Linked DNA regions of Anolis sagrei. The protein of the gene in region 1 purifies or fractionates together with the protein of each later gene. This does not show direct contact. Links are inferred from orthologs where the notes say so. Each region holds a gene or a part of one and is shown in the gene's direction. Other genes may lie near its edges.

Region 1 (7,906 bases):
AAGATACCTACTTATAAGTTACATATCCTTTTAAGACTGCATTTCTGGATACACTTACTGGGTAATAAATCCCATTGAAACCCATGGGATTTATGGGACTAAATATACTAGAGGTCAGGCTGGAAGGCTACAAAATGAGAGAACAAGACTGGTTTAAAGTCAAAGAGACTGATTTCTAAATAAATATGCTAAACTATCTTTACTGCAACAGTCTTGCAATGCTGCATTACAGTTACTCCCATTTTACAGATAAACGTTGGAATATACGGGGGAGGCTTGTGAAAGCTTACGTAATGGCAGATGACGGGGTTTAGCTCAGGTCTCTCACATCTCTGCCTCTTTGCTATATTTGAAAAAAAAAACAAAGCAAGAAAGCCTTATGGCATCTTAGAAACAAATTTTCAAATATAGCATCGATGAAACTTCTGCGGACCACATTTAAGTAATTTTTCCAGACAGATTTCCGGTGCGGGTGGTGCTGGTAGCCTTGTTAGTCGGTTTTGCCGCAAAAGTACGAAACAGCCTTGCAACGTCTTAAAGACTAACACGCTTTATGCCCACCTCTTCAAATGCAGCAGATTGCTACTCTTTAAAATGCAACAAGACTCTTTGTGGCTTTGGTCAGGCAGAAGAAGCCAGGAACAAACAAATCACTCTTAAAATTATTTTTAAATACGGTCGTCCATCCCTCCACAATTGCAGTTTTGGCTTTGACAGATTTGATTGTTCAAGGATCTGATTTATTTATTTATTATAAATCGTGTCAGGAGCAAACCAAACAGTTGTATTGCATTTTTTAACAAACAAACAAACAAAACACAAAGTTTGCAAGCTTGGTAGTTGATTAAATGTCCATCTGGCCACTTGGAGTGCCTCTGGTGTTGCCTCAAGAAGGTCCTCCATTGTGCATGTAGCAGGGCTCAGGTTGCATTGCAGCAGGTGGTCTGTGGTTTGCTCTTCTCCACACTCGCATGTCGTGGATTCCACTTTATAGCCCCATTTCTTGAGGTTGGCTCTGCATCTCGTGGTGCCAGAGCGCAGTCTGTTCAGCGCCTTCCAAGTCGCCCAGTCCTCTGTGTGCCCAGGGGGGAGTCTCTCATTTGGTATCAGTCATTGATTGAGGTTCTGGGTTTGAGCCTGCCACTTTTGGACTCTCGCTTGCTGCGGTGTTCCAGCGAGTGTCTCTGTAGAGCTTAGAAAACTATTTCTTGATTTAAGTTGTTGACGTGCTGGCTGATACCCAAACAGGGGATAAAGGATCTGATTAAAAATATTCTTTCTAGGAATCTATGGTCCTTCACTGAGATTTCATGGTCATTTTCCAGAAGATGTTGACCATAGATGAAGCCATGTTGGAAGGCCTAGACACATTCCCTCAGGTTAAAAAACAACCCAACGATTTCTTCATTCCAGGTTTTTCACATTCATGGGAGTCCTGTGGCCCTAACCCTATGAATGTGGAGGCCTGCCTGTATTGATGCTGAGTACTTTGATCTTCCTTTGATCAGTATTGCTATAATGCACAGCACAACATTAGTATATATACTGTAATAGTATTAGTAATATTACATGTAATATACACTGCACCACTTCTTGCAGCAGCTGTGGATGTGATCTATTGTTTCATCTGCTTCCTTGCAAGGTCTACACTTGGGATCTGTCGTGACTTTTCAATTCTGGCTTTGATGGCATTGGTTCTAATGGCTTGTTCTTGGGCTGCCAGAATCAGGCCCTCCGTCTCCTTTTTCAAAGTCCCATTTGTGAGCCACATCCATGTTTTTTTCTTTGTCAATTTGGCTCTCAAATTTTGCCAGAAACTGTCCAGTCTTTTGCTGGTTTTCTCTTCTGCTATGGATTGTGTTTTTACGGTATTCCCTCTTTGTCTTTTGCACTTGAAGCAGTTTACTACGATTGACTTCCCTCAATGTTGGTTCTTGATTGCCTTTCACATAATCTGCCAGTGCATGTTTCTCTTCTTCTACCATTTTTGCTTCACTTGCAGAAGCCCTCTCTCTGCCTCCTGATTTTCTGGGCAGGTAAAGTCTGTTGACATCACTACACGGGTGTAATGAGTAGTGAATTGTCATCAGTTTTATTGTTTTTCTATCCAGATCATTCAGCTCTGCTTGTGTCCAGTTCACAATCCCACCAGTGTATGTAATGACGGGGGTGGCCCAGGTGTTGATAGCCTTGATATTGTTTTATATTGCTTTCAATTGTGTTGTTATTTGTTTTATCTTATGTTTTAATTGGTGAAAGTGTTTTACATGTGTTTTTTAATTGTAATCTTGGGCGTGCCCCTTGTAAGCCACCCCGAGTTCCCCAGGGGAGATGGTTGGTGGGGTATAAAAATAAAGTTATTATAATTGATTGTATTTCCGCCATTTAATTTACTCTTCAAAACCTTTCTGACTCTTTGGATATATTCTTTGCTGACCACATTTTTCACTTGCCCATGCCTGATATTGTCCAACTGTAGTATGCCCAGTGTGCTGTCGCACGCTGGGCCTGTGCATAGGACTGTAGACAGGACATATATTCTGTGTGCCCAACAGGACGCCGGGGCTGCCTCAGATTAAAGGCCCTTGGATTTCCTTAAAACAGAGTCTTTAGATTGTTTAAAGGTTCAACAGTGTTCTTTATTGATGAAAACAAACAATACTTTAAAGCTTTCTTAACAGTCTATTGGCTCTCTCAATCTTGTCCACAGGGAACAGGCACTATCTTCATAACTGTAACTAATGGGGAAATTCTTAACTTCTAATCTGGGCAGTCTGTCTTTGCCTCTGATGGCGTGGAGCCCCTACACCCGGTACCAACTGCATCTGGCTTCCGCGAGTGACCCTTACCAAGCAGAGCTTTGTAGACTTCCAGGGAAAAAGGAGTTCAGGTTTCAGTGATGGCTGACTGAAGTCCCTCAGCAAAGGAGCTGTAAGGCTGTATATCTTCTGGCCAAGCTGTGGGGCTGTATAACCCCAGCCAAGCCATAGAAGACAAAGCTTTCTACAGGAGCTCTTGGTATTATGTCCTGCATGGAAAGCTTCTCTGTGTGGACTGAACCCAAACTGGCTCCTATTCCCTCCAAAACCCAAAGGGGGCAGGACCAGGGAACCGAACTATAATTGACAGGTGGCTTGTCCTATGATTGCAGCCAAAAGAAGCCACCTATCTGCAGAGTCCCTGAAACTTAGGACTACAACAAACATTAAATGCAAAGCAAACAAAATTGGAGCTCCTGGTGCAGTTGTACCTGCACACCCAGATATTATTATTACTATTATTGGCTATCCCTTCCAACTGGCCGTATTACGTCCCTCTACGTCCCACCCTGGAGTCTAAGATCATCTGGGGAGGCCCTGCTCTCGACCCTGCCTCTATCACAAGTGAGATTGGCGGGGACGAGGAGCAGGGCCTTCTTGGTGGTGGCCCCCCACCTTTGGAATTCACTCCCCGGGGAAATTAGATCTGCAATATCGCTCCTTTCCTTTAGGAAAAACTGAACACATGGATTTGGGACCAGGCATTCGGATAATCGGGCAGATAAAAGGACTTGACAATGATTAGGAAATGATTAATGGAATAGAACTATGGAACTCTGAAAGACGAAGCGCTGAGCATGAGAATAGTTTTTTTTATAGTTTTTATATATGACATGTTATGTACTGATTGTTTTGATTGTTTTTAACTGCAATAATTGTTTTAGCCATGGTTTTGTATATTATGTGTAATTTGTACGGCATCAAATGGTGCCTTCTTTGTAAGCTGCCCTGAGTCCCCCCTCGGGGGTTGAGAAGGGTGGGGTAAAAGTAACAGAAATAAATAAAATAAATAGGTTCTTGTGGGTTTTTTCGGGCTATAGGGCCATGTTCTAGAGGCATTTCTCCTGACGTTTCGCCTGCATCTATGGCAAGCATCCTCAGGTCTGTTGGAAATAGGACAATGGGTTTATATATCTGTGGAATGGCTGGGGTGGGGCAAGGAGCTCTTCCCTGCTAGAGCTAGGTGTGAATGTTTCAGCTGATCACCTTCATTAGCATTTGAAGGCCTGCCTGAGCCTGGGAAAACCTTTTGTTGAGAGGTGTTAAGATGTGCCTGGTTGTTTCCTCTCTGCTGTTTTGCTTTGTAATTTTGGAGTTTTTTAATACTTGTAGCCAGATTTTGTTCATTTTCATGGTCTCCTCCTTTCTGTTGAAATTGTCCACATGCTTGTGGATTTCAATGGCTTCTCTGTGTAGCCTGACATGGTGGTTGTTGGTGTGGTCCAGCATTTCTGTGTTCTCAAATAATATGCTGTGTCCAGGCTGGTTCATCAGGTGCTCTGCTATGGCTGACTTCTCTGGTTGAAGTAGTTTGCAGTGCCTTTCATGTTCCTTGATGCGTGTCTGGGCAACTCTGTGTTTGGTGGTCCCTATGTAGACTTGTCCACAGCTGCATGGTATACAGTAGACTCCTGCAGAAGTGAGAGGATCCCTCTTGTCCTTTGCTGAAGGTAGCATTTGTTGGATTTTCTTGGTGGGTCTGTAGATTGTTTGTATGTAGATTGTTTTGTTTGTAGATTGTTTGTAATAAAATAAATAAATATTATTATTATTGTCTATCTCTTCCAACTGGTGGTTCGGAATTGTGGGAGCTGAAGTCCAAAACACCTGGAAGGCCCAAGTGTGCCCATGCCTGGGCTGCATCCTCTTCTCCATCCCCACCTCGAATGGTCAATTCCCTCTTAGCCCCGCCCCCTTTGTGTCCCCTCCTGGATGCTCATTGGGCCTTTGGGTTGCCTGTCTATCTTCTTGGGTGGGAGAAGAAGAAGAGAAGGAGGAGGACAGACAGGAGCCGCTCGCTTCAACTTCTCTTCCTCCTCCTCCTCGTCCTCCTCGTTAGTTGCAGGCTCCCTCCTCCCCGTCCAAGCCCAGCCTCCTCCTCCTCTCCTTCCTCCTCCTCTTCTGTGACTCATCCGGGCGTGGAGGTGGTGGCTGGCTGGCGGGCTGCGTCTCCCCCTCTTCTCTCTCTCTCTCTCTCTCTCTCCTGAAGCAGCAGCAGCAGCCGCCCTCCTTGTTCATTCCTCCTCCTCCTCCTTTTCTACTTTTACTCCTCCTCCTTCTCCTTCTTTTGGGGCGAAAGAGTGAGAGAGTGTGCAGTTTTCCCTTCCTTCCTTCCTTCCTCCCTTTCTCCCAGCTCGGCTCCTCTTGAGTTCTTCTCTTTGCAAGCCAGGATGGACGACCCCGACCAGTCGCCTTTGGTCTCCTCTTCGTCTTCTTCTCTCCCTCCTCCTCCTCCTTCCACAGCCTCCCAGCCCCAGCCCCCCCTTTTCCAGTACCAGTTCGTGAAGGACCCCGAGTACGAAGAGGAGGAGGAGGAGGAAGAAGAGGAGGAAGATCTGGATGATGAGCGGCTGGAAGTGCGGGAGGTGAAGAAGCCCCTGTCCGCCCCGGCCCCGACCATCCCTTTCAGCCCCCCTCCGGCTCCTTCCGGGCCCCCTCCGCCCTTGCTGGACTTGGGGGGCTTCGGGGAGCCGCCCCCGCCCGCCAAGGCCCCCTCCTCCTCCCCGCCCCCGCCGCCCCCTCCGCAGCCGGCTTGGGGCCCCAGCACCACCACCCCCTCCTCCTCCTCCTCTTTCCCTCCTTCCTCCTTCTCTTCTTCTCCTTCTGCCCCCGAGGAGGAGGAGCAGCCCCCGCCACCCCCGCCGCCCCGAGGGGAGCCCAAGCCCCCCGCCATCCCGCCCCGCAACGCCCCCCAGCTGCCCCCCAAGAAGGAAGAGCAAAGCCCCGCCGCCGCCAAGGGAGACCCCAAGGGCTCAGCCTCGCCCGGTGAGTCGGGGAAGGAGAGTGCGCATGCGCCTGCAGAGCTGGGGGGGGAGATGCTTTGGCTTTTTGGGGGGAGGGGGCAGTGGGGTGTCTGTCTATCGAGGGCCAGGGGTTTTTTTGAAGGGGGAAGACTGCTTCAGGGAAACTTCCTAAGGGGGGGGGGGACCATGGGGGTGTGGTGGTCTGCCTTTAGTGGAACTTGGGGGGGGGGTACCATGAGGGTCCTTTGTAGTGAACCTCTCTCTTGTATTTTTTTTTGGGGGGGGGGAGTTGACCAGAGGGGTGTGGTGGGCCATGGGGGTGAATGCTTTTTGGGTGGAGAACATTGTAGTGAACCTTCTGTGTGTATATTTTTGTTGGAGGGGGAGTTGACATCGGGGGCCTTGTAGTGAACCTCTCTGTATGGGTATTTTTTGGGGGGAGGAATTGACCTGAGGGGTGTGGTGGACTGTAGTGGAACATGGGGTGAATGTGTTTTTTTTGGGGGGGGGGCTATAAGAGGCCTTTGTAGTCAACTTCTCTATGTGTATATTTGGGGGGGGGGGTTGACCTGAGGGGCGTGGGTGGGCAGCCTTTGTAGTGGAACTTGGGGTGAATGAGGGGAGTGAGCATAAGAAGCCAATGTAGTGAACCTCTCTCTGTGTGTATTTGGGGGGGGGGGGGGAGTTAACCTGAAGGGTGTAGTAGAGCTTGTGGTGAATGTTTTTTTTTGGGGGGGGGGAGACTATAAGAGGCCTTTGTAAAGAACCTCTCTCTCTGTGCATTTTGGGGGGGGGTTGACCTGAGGGGCGTGGTGGGCTTCCTTTGTAGTAGAGTTCGGGGTGAATGTTTGAGGGGAGAGGCCATAAGAGGCCTTTGTAGTTAACCTCTCTCTTTGCGTTTTTTTGGGGGGGGGAGAGTTGAAGTTTGGGGTGAATATTTTTTGGGGGAGACTGTAAGAGGCCTTTGTAGTCTACCTATCTCTGTGTATATTCCTTTTTGGGGGGGGGGAGGGTTGACCTGAGGGGCGTGGTGGGTAGCCTTTGTGGTGGGCCTTGGGGTGCCTCCATGTGTGCTTTTTTTTGGGGGGGGGGAAGCTAGGCTTCCCTCCCCAAACTCCTGTCAGGCCAAGGCTTGAAAGTGGGGAGACTATTGGGGGTGGGTACATTGGTAGTGGACCTCTGGGTATACATTTGTGGTGGTGAGAGAAACCTTGGCCTTGACAAGGAGAGCATGATGAAGGGGAGCCATTGTAAGGAGTGTGTTTTTGGGGGGGGGGGAGGGTGAGACAAGGAAGGCAGAAATGAGTGAGGGGAGTGGTCGTATTGGAATTAATGGATTCTGGTTCCCAATAACTCATGGAGGGGCCTGATAGGAAAGGCCTAGAAGACCTAGTAGGAGGGAGGGGTCAAGGGGAAAATGGACATTGAGGGCGTGTATGGGAAGAACTGGGGTGGCCTCACCACAGGGTAATGTGGGGAGGGTCTGCTTTTGTGTGGGAGAACTTTTGGAGGGGGTGGATTCAGTGGCATGTCAACTCTCCATGACTCATGGAGTAGGCCTTCCAGACGCTGTGAAGAGAGGGCTTTTTTTTGCGGGAGGAAATCGAGAAAGGAGGTTGTTCATGTGAGGAATTGGGTGGTGGGGTGGTGGTGGAGTGGTCTCACTATGGGTGAATGTGAGGAGGAGGTGTGGGTGTGCTTTGTTGAAGAGGGGAGTGTGTCTGGAAGGCGTTGGGTGATGGAGGGAGGAATAGCATGGCATGAAAGGGTGAGTGGGGGCTTTGGGAAGTGTAGCTACAAAGATTGAGTAAGCAGCATGTGCAAGCATGCTGAGGAACAGGTGGAAGTATGTGGTATGTGTGTGTATGTACACACACACACAAGCCGTGCCCACCACGTGTTGCTGTGGCCAACCTTCCCTCCCTCTTTCTCTCCTTCCCCTTTTTACTTTCCTTCTCTCCTTCCTTCCTTCTCTTCCTCTTTCCTTCCTTTCCCCCTTTTTCTTTCCCTTCCTCTTTCCCCCCTTTCTTCTCTACATCTTCTTGGACTGCGACTCCCAGCAGTCCTCCTGATCAATCTGTCTACCTACCTATGTATATCTAGCTGTCTGTCTATCTATCTATC
Region 2 (7,024 bases), on another chromosome or scaffold:
ACAACAGGGAACACTGAAATAATAAAGCGCTTCACTGTAGAAGGAGTTTATAAGATTGTAACATCAAAAGCCTGAATGTATCTCAACCAAGCCATATTGTAACCATCAAGCATATGCCAAGTTCAACATCTTAATATTGCAACAATACGCTTTGTTTAACAATAAACTTGTTCTCTTTGTTATTTTAAACCTGCCTCATCTCCATTGAGTTTACGTTCGGTGCATTCCACTCTACCAAAGTTATCTCACAACGCAAATAGGGATAAACAGAGACTATAATACCAGCGTCTGTAAGGAAGTTCCGAGACTGCTAAATTAAACCTGCCACCAAATGTATAGAGACGCTGGTATTATAGTCTCTGTTTATCCCTATTTGCGTTGTGAGATAACTTTGGTAGAGTGGAATGCACCGAACGTAAACTCAATAGAGATGAGGCAGGTTTAAAATAACAAAGAGAACAAGTTTATTGTTAAACAAAGCGTATTGTTGCAATATTAAGATGTTGAACTTGGCATATGCTTGATGGTTACAATATGGCTTGGTTGAGATACATTCAGGCTTTTGATGTTACAATCTTATAAACTCCTTCTACAGTGAAGCGCTTTATTATTTCAGTGTTCCCTGTTGTGAATATTCTCACTGTTTGTCCTATACCGGATCAAACCACTGATCTCCAGTCTTCCACTACTGGCGATCCTAAAACCCCCTCTGTTAGATTCTCTTTCCTCAAAGTAATCTAACGAGGTTTTCCCTTCAGCTCCCTTGCTGAAGAAATATTCACAAACACTAAAAACTAACTGACTCTACACTGCTTCACTCCACAGAGCCCCTAACTGACTCTGCTCCTCTTCTCAGGGTCTCTTCCTCCTGACTGAATTACTTTCTCAGAGTCCCTTCATGACTCTGCTACTCTCCCAGAGTCCTATCTGACTCTGCTCCTCTTCTCAGGGTCTCTTCCTCCTGACTGAAAATTAACTGTCACTTTCAAACCTTTTTCTCTTTAAGCTCCGCCCACCTCCTCTTCTGCCTTGTCTCCATGGCAACCTATCTCTCACAGCTAGGCCATGGCAACAAATGTAAAACACAAATACAGATATTAACACAGTATAATAAACACTTTATAATAAACATTTCTCTACACATAGGCATCACTGAAACCTGGTGGGATGACTCCTATTGCTGGAATGTAGACATCGAGGGCTATAATCTCTTTCACAGAAACTGAACAAAGGGGAGAGGAGGCAGAGTAGCGTACCTGGATTTCCGTAAGGCCTTCAACAAGGTCCCCCATGACCTTCTGGCAAACAAACTAGTCCAATGTGGGCTAGGCAAAACTACAGTGAGGTGGACCTGTAATTGGTTAAATGGACGAACCCAGGGGGTGCTCACCAATGCTTCCTCTTCATCTTGGAAAGAAGTAACGAGCGGAGTGCCGCAGGGTTCCGTCCTGGGCCTGGTCCTGGTCAACATCTTTATTAATGACTTAGATGAAGGGCTAGAAGGCATGATCATCAAGTTTGCAGCTAGCTATTTTTTGATATGAGCAGTTCAAGGTCTGTGCAAAATGTACTCCTGGTCTTGTTTTTGCCCAGAGAATGCTGCTTCTCCGCATTCTGTTTCTAGTTATGTGATATATCCGAGTCCTAACTTGAGGGTGTCTCTTCTTGAGTTGCTGGAAAAATATGTTTGCAACGAATAAACTATTTGCTTCCTAAATTCAATCAGTCACACTCCTGCTTCATTTCACGATTCTATGCCAATTTTTTTCCTATTTGTTTTTACTGTACTTTGTTTCCCACATTTGCATTCCAATCTTTCTTCTTCTGCCTCTGTAACTGCTGCACTATTTATTTATTTGTCGTGTCAGAACAACCAGTCTAACAGAACAAAGCAAACAAACAGAAAAATACACAACTTCTGATTTTGGTAGCTGGTTAAATGTCTTTTGACCAGTATCTGGCCACTTGGAGTGCTTCTGGTGTTGCTGCAAGAAGGTCCTCCATGGTGCATGTGGCAGGGCTCAGGTTGCATTGCAGCAGGTGGTCTGTGGTTTGTTCTTCTCCACACTCGCATGTCGAGGATTCTACTTTGTAGCCCCATTTCTGAAGGTTGGCTCTGCATCTCATGGTGCCAGAGCGCAGTCTGTTCAATGCCTTCCAAGTCGCCCAGTCTTCTGTGTGCCCAGGAGGGAGTCTCTCATTTGGTATCAGCCATTGGTTGAGGTGCTGGGTTTGAGCCTGCCACTTTTGGACTCTCGCTTGCTGAAGTGTTCCAGCGAGTGTCTCTGTAGATCTTAGAAAACTATGTCTAGATTTAAGTCGTTGATGTGCTGGCTGATACCCAAACAGGGGATGAGCTGGAGATGTCTCTGCCTTGGCCCTTTCACTATTGGCTACTACTTCCCGGCGGATGCCAGGTGGTGCAATACCGGCTAAGCAGTGTAATTTCTCCAGTGGTGTAGGGTGCAGACACCCTGTGATAATGCGGCATGTCTCATTAAGAGTCACATCCACTGTTTTAGTGTGGTGAGATGTGTTCCACACTGGGCATGCATACTCAGCAGCAGAGTAGCATAGCGCAAGGGCAGATGTCTTCACTGTATCTGGTTGTGATCCCCAGGTTGTGCCAGTCAGCTTTCGTATGATATTGTTTCTAGCACCCACTTTTTGTTTGATGTTCAGGCAGTGCTTTTTGTAAGTCAGAGAACGGTCCAGAGTGACTCCCAGGTATTTGGGTACGCTGCAATGCTCCAGTCGGATCCCTTCCCAGGTAATCTTCAGAGCTCGGGATGCTTGTCTGTTCTTAAGGTGAAAGGCACATGTCTGTGTTTTAGATGGATTAGGGATCTGTTGGTTTTCCCTGTAATAGGCAGTTAGAGCAATGTGACAGTTTCATACATGCAATTTTTGTGTAATCACAAGTACCTATACAATGGGACTGGGAAATCTGAAGCAACATGATGTAATATTTACCCACTAAACATGATATCGGGCTAAGAGGGGAATTAGTATTGTTAACAGTAGCTATGTACCACTTTTAACATTCATTGTCATTCTTAGGTATTTCTCTGAATAGGCCATGTCCAGTCTGAGGATTTTTTGTGGCTACTGCTATGTTTGCACAATTGCATTGTGGATGACTATGTCTGCAAGTTCCTTTAATGCTCCGGCATGCAGTTTGTCTGGCCTTGCAGATCTGAACACATTTAGCTTAAATAGGTGATGACGGGGGGGGGGGGGGGGGCAGGAACTGAAGCAAAATAGTTATTAATTAGCTCTGCCTTTTGTGGTAAAATATTCCCATCATTTCCTTCAGTCACTTGCTTTGAATATGCACATTTGGAAAAACTCAAAAAAAAAATTGTGCTGAGACTTTCCTTATACCATTCCGGCAGGGTTGAGCTACACAACTGTATTCTTCCTTGGTGATTCATCTTTCCTTTCCATTCCTTGTATGCAATCTTTTTTCTGCTCACATTTTCAGTATGCTTATTGTACCTAATTGGTTCTGTCATTAAAAAACATGGAAAAAGTTTATTGAACTGCAAAAACTTTGGTTTTGTGAGACATCCTGCAGCACATTTGCTATAGTTTTCAATAAATAGTCTCAACCAGCAGCAGAGTAGCACAGCGCAAGGGCGACTGTTGCACTAAACAAAGCCGAAATAAATATACTGCTGGCATCTATCTCCAAGAAGACCCTAACCACATTTAAACACAAGAAGACACAAAAATCCCCCTGACCACTAAATTGCAGCCAAACCACACCTAGGGCGGGACTAGCCAGTCAGCCTACAGCTCCCAGCAATCCCTCCTCCGCCTAAACCCTCCTTGCCCTCTATTCCAAACCCGCCTTCCCATCCGGTAGCTAATCAGGCCGAAGCGGCGTCAAGGCTCCTCCTCCCCCTGTACCTATTGGCTGGCGAGGGCGGAGACGCTACTAGCCCGCTTTCCTGCCAATCATCGTGAGGAACAGTTCGCTGAGGCGAACAGAGGCGCAAACTCGGGGGAGAAAGGAGGCTGGGACGGAGTGGGTGGGGCCAGGAGGCTTCGATTGCTTCGCAGCGGGCCAGCGGACGGTCTTCCTCAGCTTGTGGCTGGAATTCTCTCGGGCCAGCGGAAGCAGCAGCAGCAGGAGCAGACGCCATGGGTTCCTTCCTGAGCACGGTGAGTAGAGGTTCCGGAAGAGGCTCCCCTCCCTCAGTGGAATGTGCCTGGCGGGCAGGAGGCGGCAGATCCCCTTCCGGGCAGGGGTCCCTGGCCGATGGCAGCAGAGCGCATGCGCCCCTCCCAGCCCTTGTCTCCTGCCTGGCGCCTCCTGGCAGACACGCCCCTGCCAGAAAGGGAGCCGGGAAGCAATTCTTTTTACCGTGCGTTATCAACGACCGAGTAGAGTTTTACCATTTGACACCACTAACTGCCAGGGCTCACTGCTGTAAAATGCTGGGATGTGCAGTTTATTGTGGCACCAAGCACTCATAGAATCATAGAATCAAAGAGTTGGAAGAGACCTCATGGGCCATCCAGTCCAACCCCCTGCCAAGAAGCAGGAACATCGCATTCAAATCACCCCTGACAGATGGCCATCCAGCCTCTGCTTAAAAGCTTCCAAAGAAGGAGCCTCCACCACACTCCAGAGAGTTCCACTGCTGAACGGCTCTCACAGTCAGAAAGTTCTTCCTAATGTTCAGATGGAATCTCCTCTCTTGTAGTTTGAAGCCATTGTTCCGCGTCCTAGTCTCCAAGGAAGCAGAAAACAAGCTTGCTCCCTCCTCCCTGTGGCTTCCTCTCACATATTTATACATGTCTATCATATCTCCTCTCAGCCTTCTCTTCTTCAGGCTAAACATGCCCAGTTCCTTAAGCCGCTCCTCATAGGGCTTGTTCTCCAGACCCTTGATCATTTTAGTCGCCCTCCTCTGGACACATTCCAGCTTGTCAATATCTCTCTTGAATTGTGGTGCCAAGAATTGGACACAATATTCCAGATGTGGTCTAACCAAAGCAGAATAGAGGGGTAGCATTACTTCCCTAGATCTAGACACTATGCTCCTATTGATGCAGGCCAAAATCCCATTGGCTTTTTTTGCCGCCACATCACATTGTTGGCTCATGTTTAACTTGTTGTCCACGAGGACTCCAAGATCTTTTTCACACGTACTGCTCTCGAGCCAGGCGTCACCCATTCTGTATCTTTGCATTTCATTTTTTCTGCCAAAGTGGAGTATCTTGCATTTGTCACTGTTGAACTTCATTTTGTTAGTTTTGGCCCATCTCTTGTTAGTTTTGGCCCATCTGTCGAGCCCATCTGTCGAGCAGATAAAGTGGCAGAGCACTGTAATTCTGCAGTGTGGATATTAGTTTTAGACTCTGGAGATCAGGATTCGAAACTATGCTGCAGAATTAATGCAGTTTGAAACCACTTGAACAGTTCAGGCTCAATAATATTAAACCATAGGTATTGTACAGGGTGAGGCAGCATAACTTCCTTTTTTCAAAACTTAATAAAGCCCATTGTATGAATCAGGAAAAAAATATATAATGTAGGCACATACCTAAAGTTTTGTTTTACTTTTAAAGATCGAATTAAGTAGGTGACATCCCCCATTCTCCATTCTCCATACATTGAGTAACCGATTTCTGGCATTTGTCATGACTTGCCAGCATAGCAGGTGTTAGGTTGGCAATTTCTTCCTGGATGTTGGCCTTCAAATCTTGTAGGATCCTTGAACGGTTCACATAAACACGGGATTTCAAAAACCCCATAGAAAAAAATCACAAGGGGCCAAATCTGGAGAGCGGGCCGGCCACTCCAAATCCACTTGAAAAGTAGGCCTCAATGGCAAAAACACGCTCCTCACTGTTACAACGCATGATGGAGACTGAACTGTGACAGGACAAAACTTGATACTCCTGCCTCTCAAACGAGACCACTAGCACTCCGCTACGTCTTCAACCGACTGAATAGCGTGCATTTTTAAAAAGGAAGTTATACTGCCTCGCCCAGTAGTTCTAATAATATGTCCTTAGCCTTCTCTGCCAAAGAGTGCTGATGCCTCATCAAAATACAACTCTATCCATAACATGAAGCCACAGCATCTAAAATGGTATCAAACTGCATGAATTCTCCAAACGTTTAAAGCCGGGAGAAGGTTCACAGTCCCTCAGTAAGTTGGTGGGTTGGACTGTAGTTTGAAAAATACACAAATGAATTCCTATGCATGCTGCACATATGTTATTTGTAGCCCAAAAAAACCCATGTTTGAAATGAAGAATAATTTTAACCAACATAAATGTATTTCAGTGGGAAGTGTGAGCCTGCTTTTGACTGATGACATAGTCAAGTTTATTAGGATTGTTGTTGTTGTTGTGTGCCTTCAAGTCGTTTCAGACTTAGAGGGCAGCCCTAAGTTTAAAGCAATGGCAGGGTCAGTGACCTTGGAGGGCTGCATCTGGCCCACAGGCCTTAGTTTGGGGACCCCAGTTGTGATCCTGAGCAACTCACATACTCTCAGCCCCAAAGGAAGACAAAGACAACACACACACACCCCTGAACAAATGATAGTTTTGACATACAGGACTTGAGGGCAGGCGGCAATAACAGTATCTGCAAGCCTGGATTAAAGTGGAAGGACTGGCTTGCGGGCAAAGGAGAATGAGGGAGACAGAGGCCTCTCTCAGCTCCTCCATTGTGACTCATCATTGCCCTTTGACAACTCACAAGAAAAATATTCCAGAGTTTCCTGGCAATTACCACCAGTTTTGAACGTAGTTCCTTTCTGCCCATCCACCAACAGTCTTTTTAAAAAGCAGTCTTGTGGAACATAAGTACATGCCATTTTCTTTCAAAAGAGGAAGAGTTGAGGGGATGCATGTTCTGACCCTATTTATTGCATGACTCACGAAGCTCAGGATCCAAGCTTTCTGCCAGAAAATGCAAAGTTGCAAAGATTTAGCATGTTTCGCCTGTAACTTCAATAACATATCTGCAACTTTTGCCGCTCTAAAAAATACCTGGAGATGT
Region 3 (7,240 bases), on another chromosome or scaffold:
TTTTTTTAATAATCTTAATTATTATTATTATTATTATGTCATGAAATGTAAGAGTGAAATTAATACATTTCAGTTTAGTTCTGTAATGTCAGAAATTTTTCAAAAAAATAAAAAGATGGAGTGGAAAATAATAATAATAATAATAATAATAATAATAATAATAATCTGTTTTATCGACGATTCTAAAACCTTTGACTGTGTGGATCATAATAAATTGTGGCAAGTTCTTGGTGGTATGGCCATACCAAATCACCTTATCTCCAAGTAGCAACAGGAAGAACTGACCATTGAACAACAGAATGGTTCCGAATTGGGCAAGGCGTATGACAGGGTTGTATCCTCTCCCCCAACCTATTCAACTTGTATGCAGAACACATCATGCGATGTGTGGGCCTTGAGAAATGCAAGGCTAGGGTGAAAACTGCTGGAAGAAACATTAACCTTAGATATACAGATGACCCCACTTTGATGACATCTGCCCTTGCGCTATGCTACTCTGCTGCTGAGTATGCATGCCCAGTGTGGAACACATCCCACCACGCTAAAACAGTGGATGTGGCTCTTAATGAGACATACCGCATTATCACGGGGTGCCTGCGCCCTACACCGATGGAGAAATTACACTGCTTAGCCGGTATTGCACCACCTGACATCTGCCAGGAAGAAGCAGCCAATAGTGAAAGGACCAAGGCAGTGACATCTCCAGCTCATCCCCTGTTTGGGTATCAGCCAGCATGCCAACGACTTAAATCAATAAATAGTTTTCTAAGATCTACAGAGACACTCGCTGGAACACCTCAGCAAGCGAGAGTCCAAAAGTGGCAGGCTCAAACCCAGATCCTCAACCAGTGGCTGATACCAAATGAGAGACTCCCCCCTGGGCACAGAGAAGACTGGGCTACTTGGAAGGCGCTGAACAGACTGCACTCTGGCACCATGAGATGCAGAGCCAACCTTAAGAAATGGGGCCACAAAGTGGAATTCACAACATGCGAGTGGGGTGAAGAGCAAACCACTGACCACCTGCTGCAATGCACCCTGAGCCCTGCCACATGCACAATGGAGGACCTCCTTGCGGCAACACCAGAGGCACTCCAAGTGGCCAGCTACTGGTCATATTTATAGCAAATTCAAAGTTGCAGAGTTCAAACTCCCCGCCCCGGCTTCCCTGTTGTTCCCTGCCATGATGGGGCGATGGGCTCCAGTGGTCCGTAGGAACCAATGGAGAGATCTCTGCCACCTGGTGGCGACAGCCAATCAGGAGAAATGGAGGCGGGATGAGGGAGCACAAAGGAATCTGGGAAAGGAGTAAACAAAGGAAATGCCATGCCATGCGACCGGCGAGACAAAGGGGAAATCTCAAGCCAGCCTGATCTATTGTGCTTTGAGTGGAATGAATAATCAGAGCGAAGGCAAAAGGTTTTTTCAAGGACCTTTTGTCCTTCAGGAGGAAATATGATTAAGATTTTTGCCAAAGGGGCAAGCTGAGGGCTGGGCAATTCCTCCGAGGGCCACCAACTGCCCAGACTATTGTCCATGCAAAAGGAAGTTGTGGATAAAAAATTCCTGGAATGTTTGGGGCTTTGTAGTCCCTTTGGTGGAGTTTCTTCATGTATATAGGGGAAACAAAGGTCAGAAGAAAAGGGGAAAGGCTTCTGCCACACAAAGAAATCAGAAAACACATTTCATACATCTAAAGTTCATAAAAGGCAAGAGTTCATAAGGTTTGTCCATGTGGGGGGAAAGAGCGTCCATAGGGGATGGCTAAAACGCAAGGGTGTTGCACAAAGGTCCTGGCAGGAGTTCTTGAGTGGCCCAAATGGACCTGGTGTCTCTGGAAACAAGCTTTGCTCCCTGTCCTTGGAGAACTACAGCTCCCGAGAGAGGCAGAGACCCCAAGGTCTAGCTATTCCCAAAGTTTCATGGGGTCCTCATTGTTGTTAAGGCCATGGCAAATTGACCAAGACTTAATCCCTATTGTGCAGTCTGGTATCTTTGTCCTTTGCAGAACTATAAGTCACCATCCCTTTTTTTTTGGGGGGGGGGGGATGCTTGACGTCAGTAAGAGCACGTAGAGCTTTGGAGAGCTTCTGTTCTACCATCTCAAAGCTCCCTGCTTGAGCGGTGATGGCACGATCATCAGCATAGATGAAGCTCTCTGTCCTTTCTGGCAGTGGCTGGTCATTTGTGTAGATGTTGAACATGGATGGAGCAAGCACGCTCCCCTGAGGCAGGCTGTTCTTCTGTTTCCGCCATCTGCTTCTCTGGCCCTGGAATCATAGAATCAAAGAGTTGGAAGAGACCTCGTGGGCCATCCAGTCCAACCCCCGCCAAGAAGCAGGAATATTGCATTCAAATCACCCTTGACAGATGGCCAACCAGCCTCTGCTTAAAAGCTTCCAAAGATGGAGCCTCCACCACACTCCGGGGCAGAGAGTTCCACTGCTGAACGGCTCTCACAGTCAGGAAGTTCTTCCTCATGTTCAGATGGAATCTCCTCTCTTGTAGTTTGAAGCCATTGTTCCATTGCGTCCTAGTCTCCAAGGAAGCAGAAAACAAGCTTGCTCCCTCCTCCCTGTGGCTTCCTCTCACATATTTATACATGGCTATCATATCCCCTCTCAGCCTTCTCTTCTTCAGGCTAAAAATGCCCAGCTCCTTAAACCGCTCCTCATAGGGCTTGTTTTCCAGACCCTTGATCATCTTAGTCGCCCTCCTCTGGACACATTCCTGCTTGTCAACTCCCATATATTTATACATGGCTCTCTTCCTCTCAGCCTTCTCTTCTTCAGGCTAAACATGCCCAGCTCCTTAAGCCGCTCCTCATAGGGCTTGTTTTCCAGACCCTTGATCATTTTAATCACCCTCCTCTGGACACATTCCAGCTTGTCAACTCTCACACATTTATACATGGCTATCATATCTCCTCTCAGCCTTCTCTTCTTCAGGCTAAACATGCCCAGTTCCTTAAGCCGCTCCTCACAGGGCCTGTTTTCCAGACCCTTGATCATTTTAATCACCTTCCTCTGGACACATTCCAGCTTGTCAACTCTCACATATTTATACAGGGCTATCATATCTCCTCTCAGCCTTCTCTTCTTCAGGCTAAACATGCCCAGTTCCTTAAGCCGCTCCTCACAGGGCCTGTTTTCCAGACCCTTGATCATTTTAATCACCTTCCTCTGGACACATTCCAGCTTGTCAACTCTCACATATTTATACATGGCTATCATATCTCCTCTCAGCCTTCTCTTCTTCAGGCTAAACATGCCCAGCTCCTTAAGCCGCTCCTCACAGGGCTTGTTTTCCAGACCCTTGATCATTTTAATCACCCTCCTCTGGACACATTCCAGCTTGTCAACTCTCACATATTTATACATGGCTATCATATCTCCTCTCAGCCTTCTCTTCTTCAGGCTAAACATGCCCAGTTCCTTAAGCCGCTCCTCACAGGGCTTGTTTTCCAGACCCTTGATCATTTTAATCACCCTCCTCTGGACACATTCCAGCTTGTCAACTCTCACATATTTATACATGGCTATCATATCTCCTCTCAGCCTTCTCTTCTTCAGGCTAAACATGCCCAGTTCCTTAAGCCGCTCCTCACAGGGCTTGTTTTCCAGACCCTTGATCATTTTAATCACCCTCCTCTGGACACATTCCAGCTTGTCAACTCTCACATATTTATACATGGCTATCATATCGCCTCTCAGCCTTCTCTTCTTCAGGCTAAACATGCCCAGCTCCTTAAGCCGCTCCTCATAGGGCTTGTTCTCCAGACCCTTGATCATCTTAGTCGCCCTCCTCTGGACACATTCCAGCTTGTCAACTCAACAAAAAAGCTCCTGTTTTGTAGCAGGTTTCCTATGAGGTGGGTGAGGTGGTCGTCCTTTGTGATATTAATGATAATGATAATAAGCCTGAATGATGAGAAGGACTTAAATCATGAAGAGAAAGGAGCACTGATAAGTTGTGAAAAGGTAAACAAGCAGGGAGGACTACATCTCCCAGAATGCCCTTCGCCAGCCTCGCTCCAAGCAGCCGTTGCAACGGTCTCTCCTTGCCATCCGCCTGTTCTGAGTGGCCGCAAAGGTTGCCGGGAGTCGTAGTTCGCAGGCCTCGCTGGGAACAGGCTCCTCGGGCGAGGGGAGGCGCCACTGGGACTACATTTCCCGGCATGCCTTGGCACCCAAGGGCCCTCCCTTCGCTCCTTCGGCTTTGATGGGATGGGAGCGAGGCGGGAAGCAGGCGGGTCACTTCTCCGTCGGCTGCAGCTGAGAAAGACTTCAAGCTGGAGGCGGCCGGTAAGCCTGGGAGGTCTCCACCACGTGATTGCATCTGCACTGTAGAGTTGATGCGGTTTAACACCGCTTTAACTTCCAGGATTCAATGCTATGGGATCCTGGTCCTGTGGGGGGTGGGTGTATGCACTAAAACCTTGCAAAACTTTGGCAAAATGGGCTGAGGACCTTGGGAAACTACAATTCCCACGAGTTCTGTGATTTCAGGGGGAATCTGGGAGCTGTAGTTTGGCAAGGCACCAAAACCCTTTGGAAAGGCCTTGGGAAACTACAATTCCCACGAGTTCTGTGATTTCAGGGGGAATCTGGGAGCTGTAGTTTGGCAAAGCACCAAACCCCTTTGGAAAGGCCTTGGGAAACTACAATTCCCACGAGTTGTATGATTTCAGGGGGAATCTGGGAGCTGTAGTTTGGAAAGGCACCAAACCCCTTTGGAAAGGCCTTGGGAAACTACAATTCCCACGAGTTGTATGATTTCAGGGGGAATCTGGGAGCTGTAGTTTGGCAAAGCATCAAACCCCTTTGGAAAGGCCTTGGGAAACTACAATTCCCACGAGTTCTATGATTTCAGGGGGAATCTGGGAGCTGTAGTTTGGCAAAGCACCAAACCCCTTTGGAAAGGCCTTGGGAAACTACAATTCCCACGAGTTCAACGATTTCAGGGGGAATCTGGGAGCTGTAGTTTGGCAAAGCACCAAACCCCTTTGGAAGCCTTGGGAAACTACAATTCCCACGAGTTCTATGATTTCAGGGGGAATCTGGGAGCTGTAGTTTGGCAAAGCACCAAAACCCTTGGGAAAGGCCTTGGGAAACTACAACTCCCAGGATCCCATAGCATATAAAGTTATAAGCTATCGAAGTTGTAGTTTCCCAAGGTCTCAAACCCCTTTCTTGCCACCAAAACCCATTGGCAGAAAGGTCTAAAGGCCTTGGGAAACTACAACTCCCAGGATCCCATAAAATTATAAGCCATCAAAATTGTAGTTTCCCAAGGTCTCTTACCCCATTCTTCCCACCAAAACCCATTGGCAGAGAGGGGTAAAGGCCTTGGAAAACATCATCAGCCATTGAAGTTGTAGGTTCCCAAGGTCTCTAATCCCCTTCTTGCCACCAAAACCCTTTGGCAGAAAGGGGTAAAGGCCTTGGGAAACTACAACTCCCAGGATTCCACTGCGTAAAAAAGTATAAGCCATTGAAGTTGTAGTTTCCCAAGGTCTCAAACCCCTTTCTTGCCACCAAAACCCATTGCAGAAAGGGCGAAAGGCCTTGGGAAACTACAACTCCCAGGATTCCACTGCGTAAAAAAGTATAAGCCATCGAAGTTGTAGTTTCCCAAGGTCTCAAACACCTTTCTTGCCACCGAAACCCTTTGGCAGAAAGGGCTAAAGGCCTTGGGAAACTACAACATCATCAACCATTAAAGTTGTAGGTTCCCAAGGTTTCAAACCCCTTTCTTGCCATCAAAACCCTTTGTCGGAGAGAGTGAAAGGCCTTGGGAAACTACAACTCCCAGGGTCCCATAGCGTATAAAATTATAAGCCATCGAAGTTGTAGTTTCCCAAGGTCTCAAACCCCTTTCTTGCCACCAAAACCCTTTGGCAGAAAGGGCTAAAGGCCTTGGGAAACTACAACCCCCAGGGTCCCATAGGATTTAAAATTATAAGCCATCAAAGTTGTCGGTTCCCAAGGTTTCAAACCCCTTTCTTGCCATCGAAACCCTTTGTCGGAGAGAGTGAAAGGCCTTGGGAAACTACAACTCCCAGGATCCCATAGCATTTAAATTCAGAAGTCGTTTCCCAAGGTCTCTAACCCCTTTCTGGCCACCAAAACACTTTGGAAGAAAGGGCTAAAAGTCTTGGGAAACGACAACTCCCATGACTTTCTGGGGTGCTATATTATCCTGGGAGTTGTAGTTTTTGAAGGTATTTAGACTTCTCTGCCCAAGAAGACTAGTGCCTCACCAAAATAATATATCTTTTAGAGACCTTGCGTCGTCATCATCATAATCATTATTATTATTATTATTATTATTATTATTATTATTATTATTATTAATGCTGTAGTTTAAGAGGCCGATGCTAAACAAGCTTGCTCCAAAATAAGTTGTGTGATGTTTGGGACTTCAACTCCCACAATTCCTAACAGCTGAAGTTTCCCCATGCCTGATCTACAGAGCAGAATTAATGCAGTTTGACTGCACTTTAACAGCCATGGCTCAATACAATGTAGTGGGTTGTTGAAGGTTTTTCCGGGCTATATGGCCATGGTCTAGAGGCATTCTCTCCTGACGTTTCGCCTGCATCTATGCCAAGCATCCTCAGAGGTAGTGAGGATGCTTGCCATAGATGCAGGTGAAACGTCAGGAGAGAATGCCTCTAGAACATGGCCATATAGCCCGGAAAAAAATACAACAACCCAGTGATTCCGGCCATGAAAGCCTTCGATAATACATTAATACAATGTAGTTTTACAAGGTCTATAGCTTTTCTTCCAAGGATTCCATAGCATTTATTTATTTATTATTTACTAGCCATTCTTTGGGAGAGGTTTACTACATGGAGGTTCTGTGTGGGAGGTTTACCCCAATTCTATCGTTGGTGGGGTTCAGAATGCTCCTTGATTGTAGGTGAACTATAAATCCCAGCAACTACAACTCCCAAATGTCAAGATTCTATTTTCCCCAAACTCCACCAGTGTTCACATTTGGGCATATTGAATATCCGTGTAGAGTTTGGTCCAGATCCATCATTGTTTGAGTCCACAGTGGTCTCTGGATGTAGGTGAACTACAACTCCCAAACTCAAGGTCAATGCCCACCAAACCCTTCTAGTCATTTCTGTTGGTCATGGAAGAACTGTGTGTCACCTTTGGTTTAATTCCATCATTGGTGAGGTTCAGAATGCTTTTTGATTGTAGGTGAACTATAAATCCCAGCAACT

What was found.
Region 2: the proteins of RTN4 (region 1) and NADH-cytochrome b5 reductase 3-like purify together in Homo sapiens (affinity purification with mass spectrometry; 3 studies listed by BioGRID and IntAct, counting the BioPlex papers as one, with this or other methods). This does not show direct contact. The link is inferred for Anolis sagrei from reciprocal best matches to the Homo sapiens genes RTN4 and CYB5R3.
Region 3: the proteins of RTN4 (region 1) and ATL3 purify together in Homo sapiens (affinity purification with mass spectrometry; 4 studies listed by BioGRID and IntAct, counting the BioPlex papers as one, with this or other methods). This does not show direct contact. The link is inferred for Anolis sagrei from reciprocal best matches to the Homo sapiens genes RTN4 and ATL3.

The regions. Positions count from the first base shown.
Region 1 is NC_090021.1:16,434,368-16,442,273, forward strand, and holds the start of RTN4 (reticulon-4), read left to right. Parts: upstream 1-4,802; 5' UTR 4,803-5,209; coding exon 5,210-5,804; intron 5,805-7,906. UniProt on the Homo sapiens protein: Required to induce the formation and stabilization of endoplasmic reticulum (ER) tubules. They regulate membrane morphogenesis in the ER by promoting tubular ER production.
Region 2 is NC_090025.1:89,514,163-89,521,186, forward strand, and holds the start of NADH-cytochrome b5 reductase 3-like, read left to right. Parts: upstream 1-3,969; 5' UTR 3,970-4,146; coding exon 4,147-4,167; intron 4,168-7,024. UniProt on the Homo sapiens protein: Catalyzes the reduction of two molecules of cytochrome b5 using NADH as the electron donor.
Region 3 is NC_090032.1:17,100,218-17,107,457, forward strand, and holds the start of ATL3 (atlastin-3), read left to right. Parts: upstream 1-4,204; 5' UTR 4,205-4,304; intron 4,305-7,240. UniProt on the Homo sapiens protein: Atlastin-3 (ATL3) is a membrane-anchored GTPase that mediates the GTP-dependent fusion of endoplasmic reticulum (ER) membranes, maintaining the continuous ER network. It facilitates the formation of three-way junctions where ER tubules intersect.